3 linked regions of the Drosophila melanogaster genome follow. The protein of the gene in region 2 interacts with the protein of the main gene of each other region in a pairwise test. Each region holds a gene or a part of one and is shown on either strand. Other genes may lie near its edges. The genes, in order: Acp95EF, CG9757 and GstD1.

Region 1 (2,957 bases), about 11 Mb from region 2:
AGCACGACTTGGGCTTCGTGACCTTCGATCTGCAAACGAATCTCACAGGCATCTTCAACTGGAACGTGAAGCAGCTGTTCCTGTATCTCACCGCCGAGTACCAGACACCGGCCAATCAACTCAACCAGGTGGTACTGTGGGACAAGATTATCCTGCGCGGCGACAATGCCGTATTGGACTTCAAGAACATGAACACCAAGTACTACTTCTGGGACGACGGGAATGGCCTGAAGGACAACCGCAACGTATCGCTATACCTCTCGTGGAACATCATTCCGAACGCGGGACTCCTTCCCTCCGTTCAGGCCACTGGAAAGCACCTGTTCAAGTTCCCGGCCGACTATGCCACCTCGTCCATTTAGAGCTTAGGGCTAATGCTAAATACAGCTGGTTCCGCCCGGGTTCCCTAGCTTGTAGTGTCTATCTAATAAAACCCCAAATAAAATATCTTTGTAAAGATTTCGAACTGTATCCCAAACGAAAGAAACTTAAGAGAAATTCGTTGAAAATAATTTATTTTTGGTCCATTTTTATAATGACAATTTTATCTATAGCTTTCTATAGTAATTAACCAGCGAGTGACTGCAGAGCGCCAGCACTTAGTTTTCGGTCTTTCGTCTCAAATCTGGGTTTGGCAGTCGAACTAGGGTTCAACACTGCAGCTGAGGTGTTAAGGGATAGAGCTACAACCAAAATAGCAATAAAGAACTGTGCGAAAATTTTAAAAAATATTAGATTTTGGAACGCAGATATGATTAGTACCAACACACCAATTTTACTGAGGCCATGTTGATATCCGCTAAAGAAATCGAAAACTATACTAAAAATGTGTAAAAGATCTCCAATATATATATGACTGGTATTCAAGGCCGCATCGAATGGGTTCGTTTCAAAATTTAAAACTGAATCAAATTCGTTAACATTTTTTACAAGGCTTACGCAATGAAAAAGACTAATTGACCTTTGAAAATGTAATCCTTAAGACGAAGATGATGAACCCAACATATGAAAATACTTATTCGATCAATTCACAACTAATACGAAAAGGAAAGGATTTTGCATTCGGAAGATTATTTTTATTTCAAACTTCCTAAATAGAAGCATTCATTAGATTACTTATTTTACAGTCGGGGTTTTTTTTTTAATGTCTATTAATGCTGCAGCATCTGACATGCGATAACACAGTTGTCCTTGACCTAGTTGTAGAACATAAACATAATAGATGCACATCAAAAATGTTTATTTATAAGATCGGTTAAGTTTTAATATGGCAACGTATGACAGACATTCGTAATACAAACTTGCGTAAATGCATTCAGGAGTTCGCAGTTTTATGATTATTTATCTGATTACATATTTTAGCCTTGGTATGTTTTCCCACTGGGGACGTGCGAGCGTATCTTGTTTAAATATTCTTTGGTCTATATTTATAATAATTAAACAAAAAAAAAAAAAATATCTAATTATAAAACAATACTTTCTTCGATGACTATAAATTTGATATACCTAGAGTTCAAATAAATATTTTAAATATACTTTGAGATCATCTTGAGATACTTGTTTACTCTTTGTTTCTCGCCTTTTGGCGATGTTCGTCTAATACTTCCCGCAATCGCTTGACGAAATTAGCTTGATCTCTCGGAATAAAGCCCAGGAAGGCGTTCCTCGGGGACGAATACAGCAGCATGATAACCTTGCAGACGACCTCGGAGGAAAATCGGGCACAGCCACAACTGCCGGCGGACATTGATGATGCTAGCGAGTCGTGTTCTTCTCCAGGTGTCGATCGGAGAATTATAAGTTTCGAGTCCTTTATAAACGCTCCGGCGAACTGACCAAGATAAATTGAAGGCATCAAAACCATAGGCATATCAGTTGGCCAATCCTCCGCACTGATCCCGGGATCACCGTTTTTTATAGCTATGTACACGGAACACTCAAGCTTGTGACTAATGCTTGGCTCCTCTAAACTTGCTTGTGTCGACCAATTCAGCGATCCAGTCCATAGGAGTTCATTTATAATGGCATCTTCCTCCACAGGAGGCGGTTCTTCTGGCTGTGGCTGCTTGGGTGTTTTGACGCCCGGCTTTCGTTTTGCACCCTGAAGAATCTCCTGCAGTCGTTCGCTAAACGAATCCTCATTGTTGGGTATGAAGCCAACCAAAGCTTGATGATCGCGCGAGTAGATGAGAATTAGAGCCTTGATGTTGCAGTTGGGATTGGAGGGGAAGTGGATGCAACCAGCGAAACCAGAGCTCATCGCCGTGATCAATAAATTGAGTACCTCTCCTTGGCTGGATCGGAATACAACCATCCTGGCATCCTTTAGGAATTGTTCGCCAATTTTACCCAGCACTTTTTTGGGTATCAGTTGTGTTTTCAGCTTGTTTGGCCAGTTCTCCGTGTTGATCTCCGGCTGACCTTCTTTAACCATGGAGCAGATTTTGCATTGGACCGTGTGCAGAGTCTTCGGTTGATCCAATATCTGTGCATCCTCCCATTCGAGCTCTCCACTCCAAATTGTTTCCTTTGAGTCACCATTTTCAGGATTTTCCGGTTCTTTTTGCAAAAGCAACGCCCCAATCATATGTGTTAGACAATCGAGTTCCCCTTCGTCATCACCCACTCCTCGGGCTTCCTCTGGAACCGGCTCCATGCCCCTTTCAAGATGCAATCTAATTAAATATGGATTTTGTCGGATAGGCAACTTGTCGGTTAAAAATTTGTTTATCTGTGATATGCTTCTTCTTGCTTTTAGCGGTTTGTTATTGGTATCGCACTATCGGTTGGCTGGTTGGTCGATTGGCGGCCATCGAGATGCAACGCAATGCAACCCTGGCCAATCACTCTCACTTCTTCTTCTGCGTTTGTGTCAAAACAAAATTAAAACTAAAAACTCGCTAAAACCGTCTCGCAGCGCAATTATCTTTAGACTTCGTGTTATTTATGTGTTTGAA
Region 2 (3,350 bases):
TGTGTAACTAGCAATTTATCCCCCACTGCACTCTCGACTGTATTAAAGCTCTTTTTAGTCTATTTGCACTAAAATTCTTAATCTTAAGCTGTTAAATTCCTTAAACCCCAACTATGCAAAGTCATTAAATCGCTGGGAAAAAAAAGGGAAAAGTCCACTTTTAACAAAGTTCCCAAAGTATACCGTGAAAGTGTAGACTAACAAAGCCTTTTACAAGACTGCGTTCTAGTAACAAGAAATTTTTCACGAGCCAGAAAAAATGAAAAGAGGGTGATGGGGCAACGAGAAAAAAACGAAAACTTTTATCAATGTTGGCGTATGACCCTTGTATGAGTGGGTGGGCTTTTGGAATGGTTGGGTTGGTTGGCTTCACTTTGCGCAGAGGTCAAGGGATAACAAAAGGCGTAAATTTAAAGCCAAGTTAATTTTTTAACAATAAAAGGGGCGCTTGTCAAAAGAGAAATTTTACAGCAAGCGTTTAATCTTAAACGACTTTTGCCATCCAACGCGATTGGCAAGTTAGATAGCAAACGCCAGTGGCAGCAGCCGAAGCAAAGTTTCTTCAATGGACTGCTTTGTTATAAGTAGGAAAAAGCAAACAAACCGTGAACGAACGAATTAAATGCTGATTTACAGTCCAAGAAAAAAAATTTTCAAATTTATCTTCATTTTTATACGTATACTTGTACTGTGAAAGACTGGAAGTTTGAAGGCTCCAAAGTTTAAATACTGTGGCATACTTTTAATCAGCTTCTTAATTTAGCATTGATTGCTTCAAGTCATCCTGTTTCTTTTCGTATCCACATTCATTTTTTTTCCTAGTGCATTCACAAACAACATTTAACCCTGAAGACCAATGCCAATCACTGAAAGCCATGCAAATGACAAGGAAATTAAGTGAATCAAAGAAGAGGGGCAAATGTATTTCGAACTTAATTAGAGCGTGCTTGATTGCACTTTGATTTCAAAGTCTATTTCTAGCGTTTTATGCTTAGTCAGTCACAGATGATTGCTGCTTGGTTTCTAGCCTCCAAATCCGCCACCGAAGCCACCGCCTGGTCCTCCGAAGCCGCCTCCCGGACCGCCAAAGCCGCCACCTGGACGTCCACCAAAGCCACCGCCTCCGAAGCCGCCTTGACCTCCGAATCCGCCGCCTTGACCTCCGAATCCACCGCCTGGACCTCCGAATCCGCCGCCTTGACCTCCGAATCCGCCGCCTGGACCTCCGAAACCGCCTCCCGGACCGCCAAAGCCGCCGCCAAACTGACGTGCTTGGCGTGCTGCCACCGGAGCCTGGACACCTGCATCCACATCCAGAAGTTGCGCCGCCACAGGATCATATGTGGCTGCTGATGAGCCGGCGACCAGGAGAATGGTCGCCAGGGCAAGGCAAACAAATGTGCGCATTTTCGAGGAAACTTCTGCTACTAATCACCGGCAAAGTTTCGATGGATTCTACGAAGTCTCTGCTCTGCGGCCGGTCAATTTATATGATTCGGAACTTATCGACTGGCAATGGGGGAGCGAATAAAAGTAGAAGTGGTTCGACTGGGCGCGGAACATCAAAGTTGTGAGTGTTACGCCAGAACTGAAATGTATACAACGAGCAGAGCGATTCGTATTAACTGTCTGGCTAAGCGCTATGAGCAACAACAATAAAGCTGCTCCATAATAATAACCAAAACCTATTAGGCAACAGAAACGGAGGCAAACTTTTTGGCAAACACCCCACCAAATGTATAGACGAAGGGGGAAAGTCTGAAGTGGCCAGCCGGTTCAGGATGGGCTTTCTCCGGACGACTATTCAAATGCGCAAAACATTCAAGTTTCTTTGGCTCGCACAACAAAACAGATCGATAGACAAGTGGCCAAGCCAAGTGTAGATGGGAAGCATCATCTCAAGTGGGCCTCTCCATTCATCTTTCGTCTGTCGGATTTCGTAAGGCTTTTCAATGCGGGAAGTTCGGGGATTTTGTTTTGTTTGTTTGACTTAATTAAAATCTAAGGGTAAACAGTCGACGCAACTGGTTGTTATTCAAATGTCATCAATGTTGTCGGTTTCATTTTTGGCCAACGCACTGACTCATTTCGGTTATTAGCTTGCTCAGTGGTTAGCACATTTTAAGATCTGGTTCGGTCATTGTTAATCAAGATTTAGCACTTCATTTATAAGTATGGAATATTCAATACTATTTACAAAACAAAGGAACTCTGCCGTAATTAACTATACAAGTGTACGTAATAGTACAAGTGTGCGTGTTATAAATAAAAACCTAGATTTAATAGGTTTATAAGCGGAGAAATCCTAATTTATGAAATTCTCAGAAATACTAATAATTAATAATAATACTTAGTAAACAAAATCAAAAGCCAGTTTGTTGTTGATCTTCAAAACCCATTTTAGGCAGACTCGTTATCTTACATAACAAAAAATGGCGAAACATGTTTTATATTTAAAGCAGAAGAAACCATCAGCTTATTATATTTATTTTCTTATTTTTAATTACTTTATTGGCTGGAAATATTTTGAAATGCTTAGAAAACATTAATTCACCTGACCTGACCTAATATAATAAATGTAAACCAACAATTTGTATCACTTTCTGGAGAAATAAAAACCGAGATACGAAAACTTTTTATTCAATTATGCACTCAAAGTGTCTGTTAAAATAAATCTGCTACGTCTGAAACTTGTATATTAAACTGATTTGCTGTCTGACCTGTCATCCGTCAATTGCCGACCATCAGTTGAGTTCAGTTCAGTTCAACGGGGATAAGGTAAAATGTAGAAAATGACAAGACTGCCTACGTTTTTCACAACATTATAGCCATCCTTCTGCGACGAGGCAAAACTTTGTGTTGAACTTTTAAAGAAGTAACAAACAAAATGCAAGCAAGAAAATATTAAAAACTTTTAAGGGGGACTCGCATTAAAAAAGATTCGCCTTGCTTAAGCAGGTAAAAAACATCTAAATTGAATGGCACGTGATTTAATGTTTATTAGCACTTTTTAGTTTGCCAACATTTTTCATATCAACTAATTATAATGTCATCGTTATCACCATCAAAAAACTATTCAGCTTTCCAAACTAATATCACTTATTTATACCGTTTGAGACGTATTTTCAAGTTTTCATTCAAGGTCGTGTAATTTTTCTATAACGCACATTAAAAAGCTACAACATTTAAACAACCATGAACCTGGTCTACCTATAATTTATGGAATTTTATGGCCAAAAACCTGAACACCTGGCCAATGTAAATCAGTAATTCTACTAATCGTCTTCTGTGAAGTTGGTAGAAGGTAGAATTTTGAGGGTTAAATGTTTGCCTGGCCTTTCTGAAAGTTT
Region 3 (4,072 bases), 1.2 Mb from region 2:
AAAAAATTATTGAGAAAACATGGTCGTTAATGCACCTTGGAATGCACATAATGCACCCATTTTGATAAAAGCTTATTGAGACAGTTAAACATTCTCTCAGAAAAATAACATAAATATCTACAAACTGTGTTTTTATTAAAAATGGTGCCCATAATATATAAAATATGTCGAGATTTGCTTCCTTTTAAATGAATAATTTAACTTGGTAATTTTCCACTTTGTTATCTACCGTTAAAAGCTTTTTGAAGAACAAGAAATTACAAGAGCTGCCTTTCTGATGAAAATTTCAGAACCAAAACGAAATTCACTCTAAGTTTCTAATCTATTTCACCAATGAATTTAAGTCTGATAATTTCTCACTTTTTCCTTACAGATTTTCAAGCTTCTTTTTTGAGGCCTTCACCACATAAAACTAACGAGCATCGCGAAAATATTCTATCTTTTATTATCTTTTTTTGTTTGCCTCTCGATTCGGAGAGATTTAGCAAAAGAGGAAAGAGAATCACCCCTGGCATCAAAGAGAAAATAACGAGCATCAAGAGAGCCCACTTATTCAATTGCAGTCCCTATCCACAATATCCACTATCCACATACACATAGTAATATATGTAAATGTACACCCATCTAAAAACAAACTCATTTGTATTTTGTGCATTCAAAAAAAAGAACACTTATTTATTGTCTTTGGAGACAGGCGAATTTGGAATTGTTGTTTGTGAACGTGAATATAAATACTACATCATATGTACGGGTATAAAAACGTGAATATCAGGCTTATTCGAAGTACTTCTTGAACTCCAGGCATCCGGCCCAGTTCTCCTCCCATCCGGGAGTCACCTTCTTGGCGTTCTCGTACCACCTGTTCACATTGGCGTACTTGCTGATCTCGAATTTGGCCACCTCGAATGTGGACACGGTTGCCACCAGGGCAATGTCGGCTACGGTAAGGGAGTCACCGGCGGCGTAGTCCTGTCCCTCCAGGAAGGTGTTCAGGAACTCGAAGGCGGCCTCGATCTTCTTGAAGGCCTCTGGATCGGCGGGCGCCTTGGCGAACACCTGTGGGTAGTAGTAGTTGGCGAAGCTCTGGTACAGCGTTCCCATGTCGAAGTACAGGCGCTGATTGATCACGGCGCGCTTCTTGGGGCACTTAGGGTACAGGGAGTCGGTCTTGCCGTACTTCTCCACCAAATACACCTGGATGGCGCGGGACTCCCACAGCGCGAATCCGTTGTCCACCAGCGTGGGAATGGTGTGCTGGGGATTGATCTTCAGGAACTCCGGCTTCAGGTGCTCACCGGCCTGCAGGTTGAGCAGCTTCTTGTTCAGCTCGACGCCCACGGCCTTGGCGGTCATGATCACGGAGCGGCAGGGGGAGGAGCCGGGCAGGTAGTAGAAGTCAACCATTTTACTGTAGAAGTTCGAAGAACTATCATTTAGTTACAGTGCTCGCAATAAATAATTTGTAGCCAACTTGTTAAGAAATATTATTATCTTCGCTAATTTCTAACCAACGGTTATTTAAAAGCTTAGGGCATTCATTTGTATTTCTAATTTGGGTTTTAAATGGAAGAAGAATCAAGTTGAAAAGAAACTGAAAACAATTGTGAGTCCGCCATATTTGATTGGAGTGAACAAATCTCCAACTTCTTTTCAAATTTAGATGTGAGCACCAAACTTTTTCAAGCATATCCACAAGCGTCGCATTCATATTTAAATTAACAATCTCCCCCTTCTTGAGACCCAAATTGCTTCTGTATTATACACATTATCCATATGGCATGCAAACAGAATAGATCTGGATGCTAGAAAGATATGCCACAATTAGACGCGCTCTATAATTACAAGTTCAGCAAAAGCGGACTTTAATTGGGCCGCCATTACAGAAGTTCACTTGGCTATGATGTCATATCGGGGCTATAATACGTTCAAATGTTGGTAATTTTCCATGCTGCCAATATTTCCTTTTATTTTTGACCAAACACAGGCACACAATCACAAAACACAATATATATAGAAATTGCTGTGGGGAACTTACATTTTTTTCTTCTGTTGTGAAACTCGCGATGTACACTGTATCAAATGAAAAGTAGCACTGAACGGAATTCGAAGAGCGAGCCCACTTTTATAGGGGCCGGCTGTGGTCGCCACAATGCCGGCAAACAAGAGTTGTAGCTTGAAGCGCCCCGCGGGGCGTGGCAAGGTGGGGAGAGAGGTACAGAGAGAGAGAGAGGGGGCTGCTAGTTGTTGTCGTGCCTGGGTTTTTTTTTTGTCTTCTATTATATTCTGACTTGCCCACACATACCCACTAATGGCGGGCAAAAATGTGACGTTAGCGGCGTGATTAATACACTGTTGTGTGGCCATGGGTGTGTGGAGACGATTGATAGTGTGTGTGTGCGTGCTCTGGAGGAGGTTGCACTCTATCCGTTCCCTCATACACCTCCACCATACCCCCGCAAAAGAAAGCTGCAACTTTCTAATGATCCTCCATTGGAACGAAGCCTTTTACTCGCTTAAGAACAAATTTTGTTACATTTCTTTATAATTTCTGATTTTAACAAACAGATAACAAAGAAGATACAATCCTGCCATACAGGTATTATTAATCGTAGGGTATTTACACATCGACTTGCTAAGATTAGCAAACACATAAGCATGCAATCGATTAGCTTGAAACACAATTTTGCATTTCTAATGAACATCTGTGCGCCTGAAAAAACATAAATTCTTTTAAAATGCAAAAAAAAATAAGTACAAACAAATAAGCAGGCAAACAGAAACCAGATAAGAATTCAAGCCGGCCGGCAAACATTGATATCAGGCAAACATATATGTATGTATGTACATATGTACATATATAGCAACAGTTGTCGAGTATTTCCAACACACAAGCAAATCGCGAAAGGCTCATACCGTACTAATAAGACCATAAAAATATAACCGTTTTTCGAATTATTCAATATACTTTGACTCATAGTAATAATTTTAATGGGTAAGCCCAAGCTATGGTAGACAAATAGTAGTAGATTAAATGATGAGTCAAAGGCACATGCAAATTCGAAATTACTGGTACACATTTTCAATGTAACAATATGGATGGGCTTAGTCCATATATCGATCGACTTTTATTGTTTGTGTTTGTTATGACGGCCTTGGGTTTTAATAAGTAATTGCTGTGACCATATAACATGAAAAGGAATACTAGACTTTCATTTCTTGGAAGTATTTGATACTATCAAAGGCGAACACTTGAATATTCCTGCTACACTTCGCTGGGGGTATTTAATTTCCCCAAAACAAATTCGCTTTTATCAGTTTCACAATTCGCAATACCAACTATCAGCATGACCGGGCAAAAAAATTCAATAACAAGTAGGAAAAAATGGAAAGAGCATTTTCGTGGGCGACACGTCAAACAAATTGCGCTCTTAACGTCGAGAACAATCCACAAAACGATTGTGAAATCAAAAATTCCGAACCCCAAGTTCCGAGAGTTACTCATTTGAACATAATGCCGAAATCCAGCTGAATCATGGGAAACACGAGATCGTAAGTATAAGTTCGCCAATAACTGGTTGGGTTAATTCACCAAAAAGCCGGCCCAAAAGGTAGCGTAAAATGTAGAGAAAGGTCACTGTGTTTGCCACTGCAGATCAAAAAAACCAGTTGGACGGCATTGCCAAATGTGCGTCACAGGAAAATAAAGTGAAAAGCGCAAACTATTTAAAGAGCAAAGCCAAAGAGAATGGATAGGACGAAGAGCCCCAATAATCTCTTACCTCCACATCATCGAGATCTTCTGCCGGCCTCCCATATGAGCACATTTAGCCTACATACATCTACTTTCTCGATTCCGTTTGCCGGTGATTCGCTTTGTGTACAGCTGCGCTGATCTTTCTCCGATCTCCGCTTTAGAATACATATTATACCATAAAACTGAATATGTTCAAGTTTAGATTGATATATAAAAAAGTAATAAATTATTATTATTAAATTTATGAAGATCTGGGGTGTGTCCACATGTACTCTTACTTCCATATGACGGCTTGAACATACTTTTGAACATATTTTT

The links.
Region 1: the proteins of CG9757 (region 2) and Acp95EF interact in a two-hybrid assay, tested with the Drosophila melanogaster proteins (one large-scale study listed by BioGRID).
Region 3: the proteins of CG9757 (region 2) and GstD1 interact in a two-hybrid assay, tested with the Drosophila melanogaster proteins (one large-scale study listed by BioGRID).

The regions. Positions count from the first base shown.
Region 1 is NT_033777.3:24,226,823-24,229,779, reverse strand, and holds Acp95EF (accessory gland protein 95EF), read right to left. Parts: upstream 806-2,957; 5' UTR 789-805; coding exon 771-788; exon of another isoform or gene 709-770; coding exon 568-708; 3' UTR 501-567; downstream 1-500. Other genes in the region: Spase22-23 (spase 22/23-subunit), read left to right, coding at 1-362; CG13609 (uncharacterized protein), read right to left, coding at 1,562-2,656.
Region 2 is NT_033777.3:13,610,971-13,614,320, forward strand, and holds CG9757 (uncharacterized protein), read right to left. Parts: upstream 1,464-3,350; 5' UTR 1,408-1,463; coding exon 1,024-1,407; 3' UTR 613-1,023; downstream 1-612.
Region 3 is NT_033777.3:12,367,168-12,371,239, forward strand, and holds GstD1 (glutathione S transferase D1), read right to left. Parts: upstream 2,102-4,072; 5' UTR 2,036-2,101; intron 1,427-2,035; exon of another isoform or gene 1,409-1,426; 5' UTR 1,405-1,408; coding exon 775-1,404; 3' UTR 650-774; downstream 1-649. UniProt on the Drosophila melanogaster protein: Conjugation of reduced glutathione to a wide number of exogenous and endogenous hydrophobic electrophiles. Has DDT dehydrochlorinase activity. May be involved in detoxification.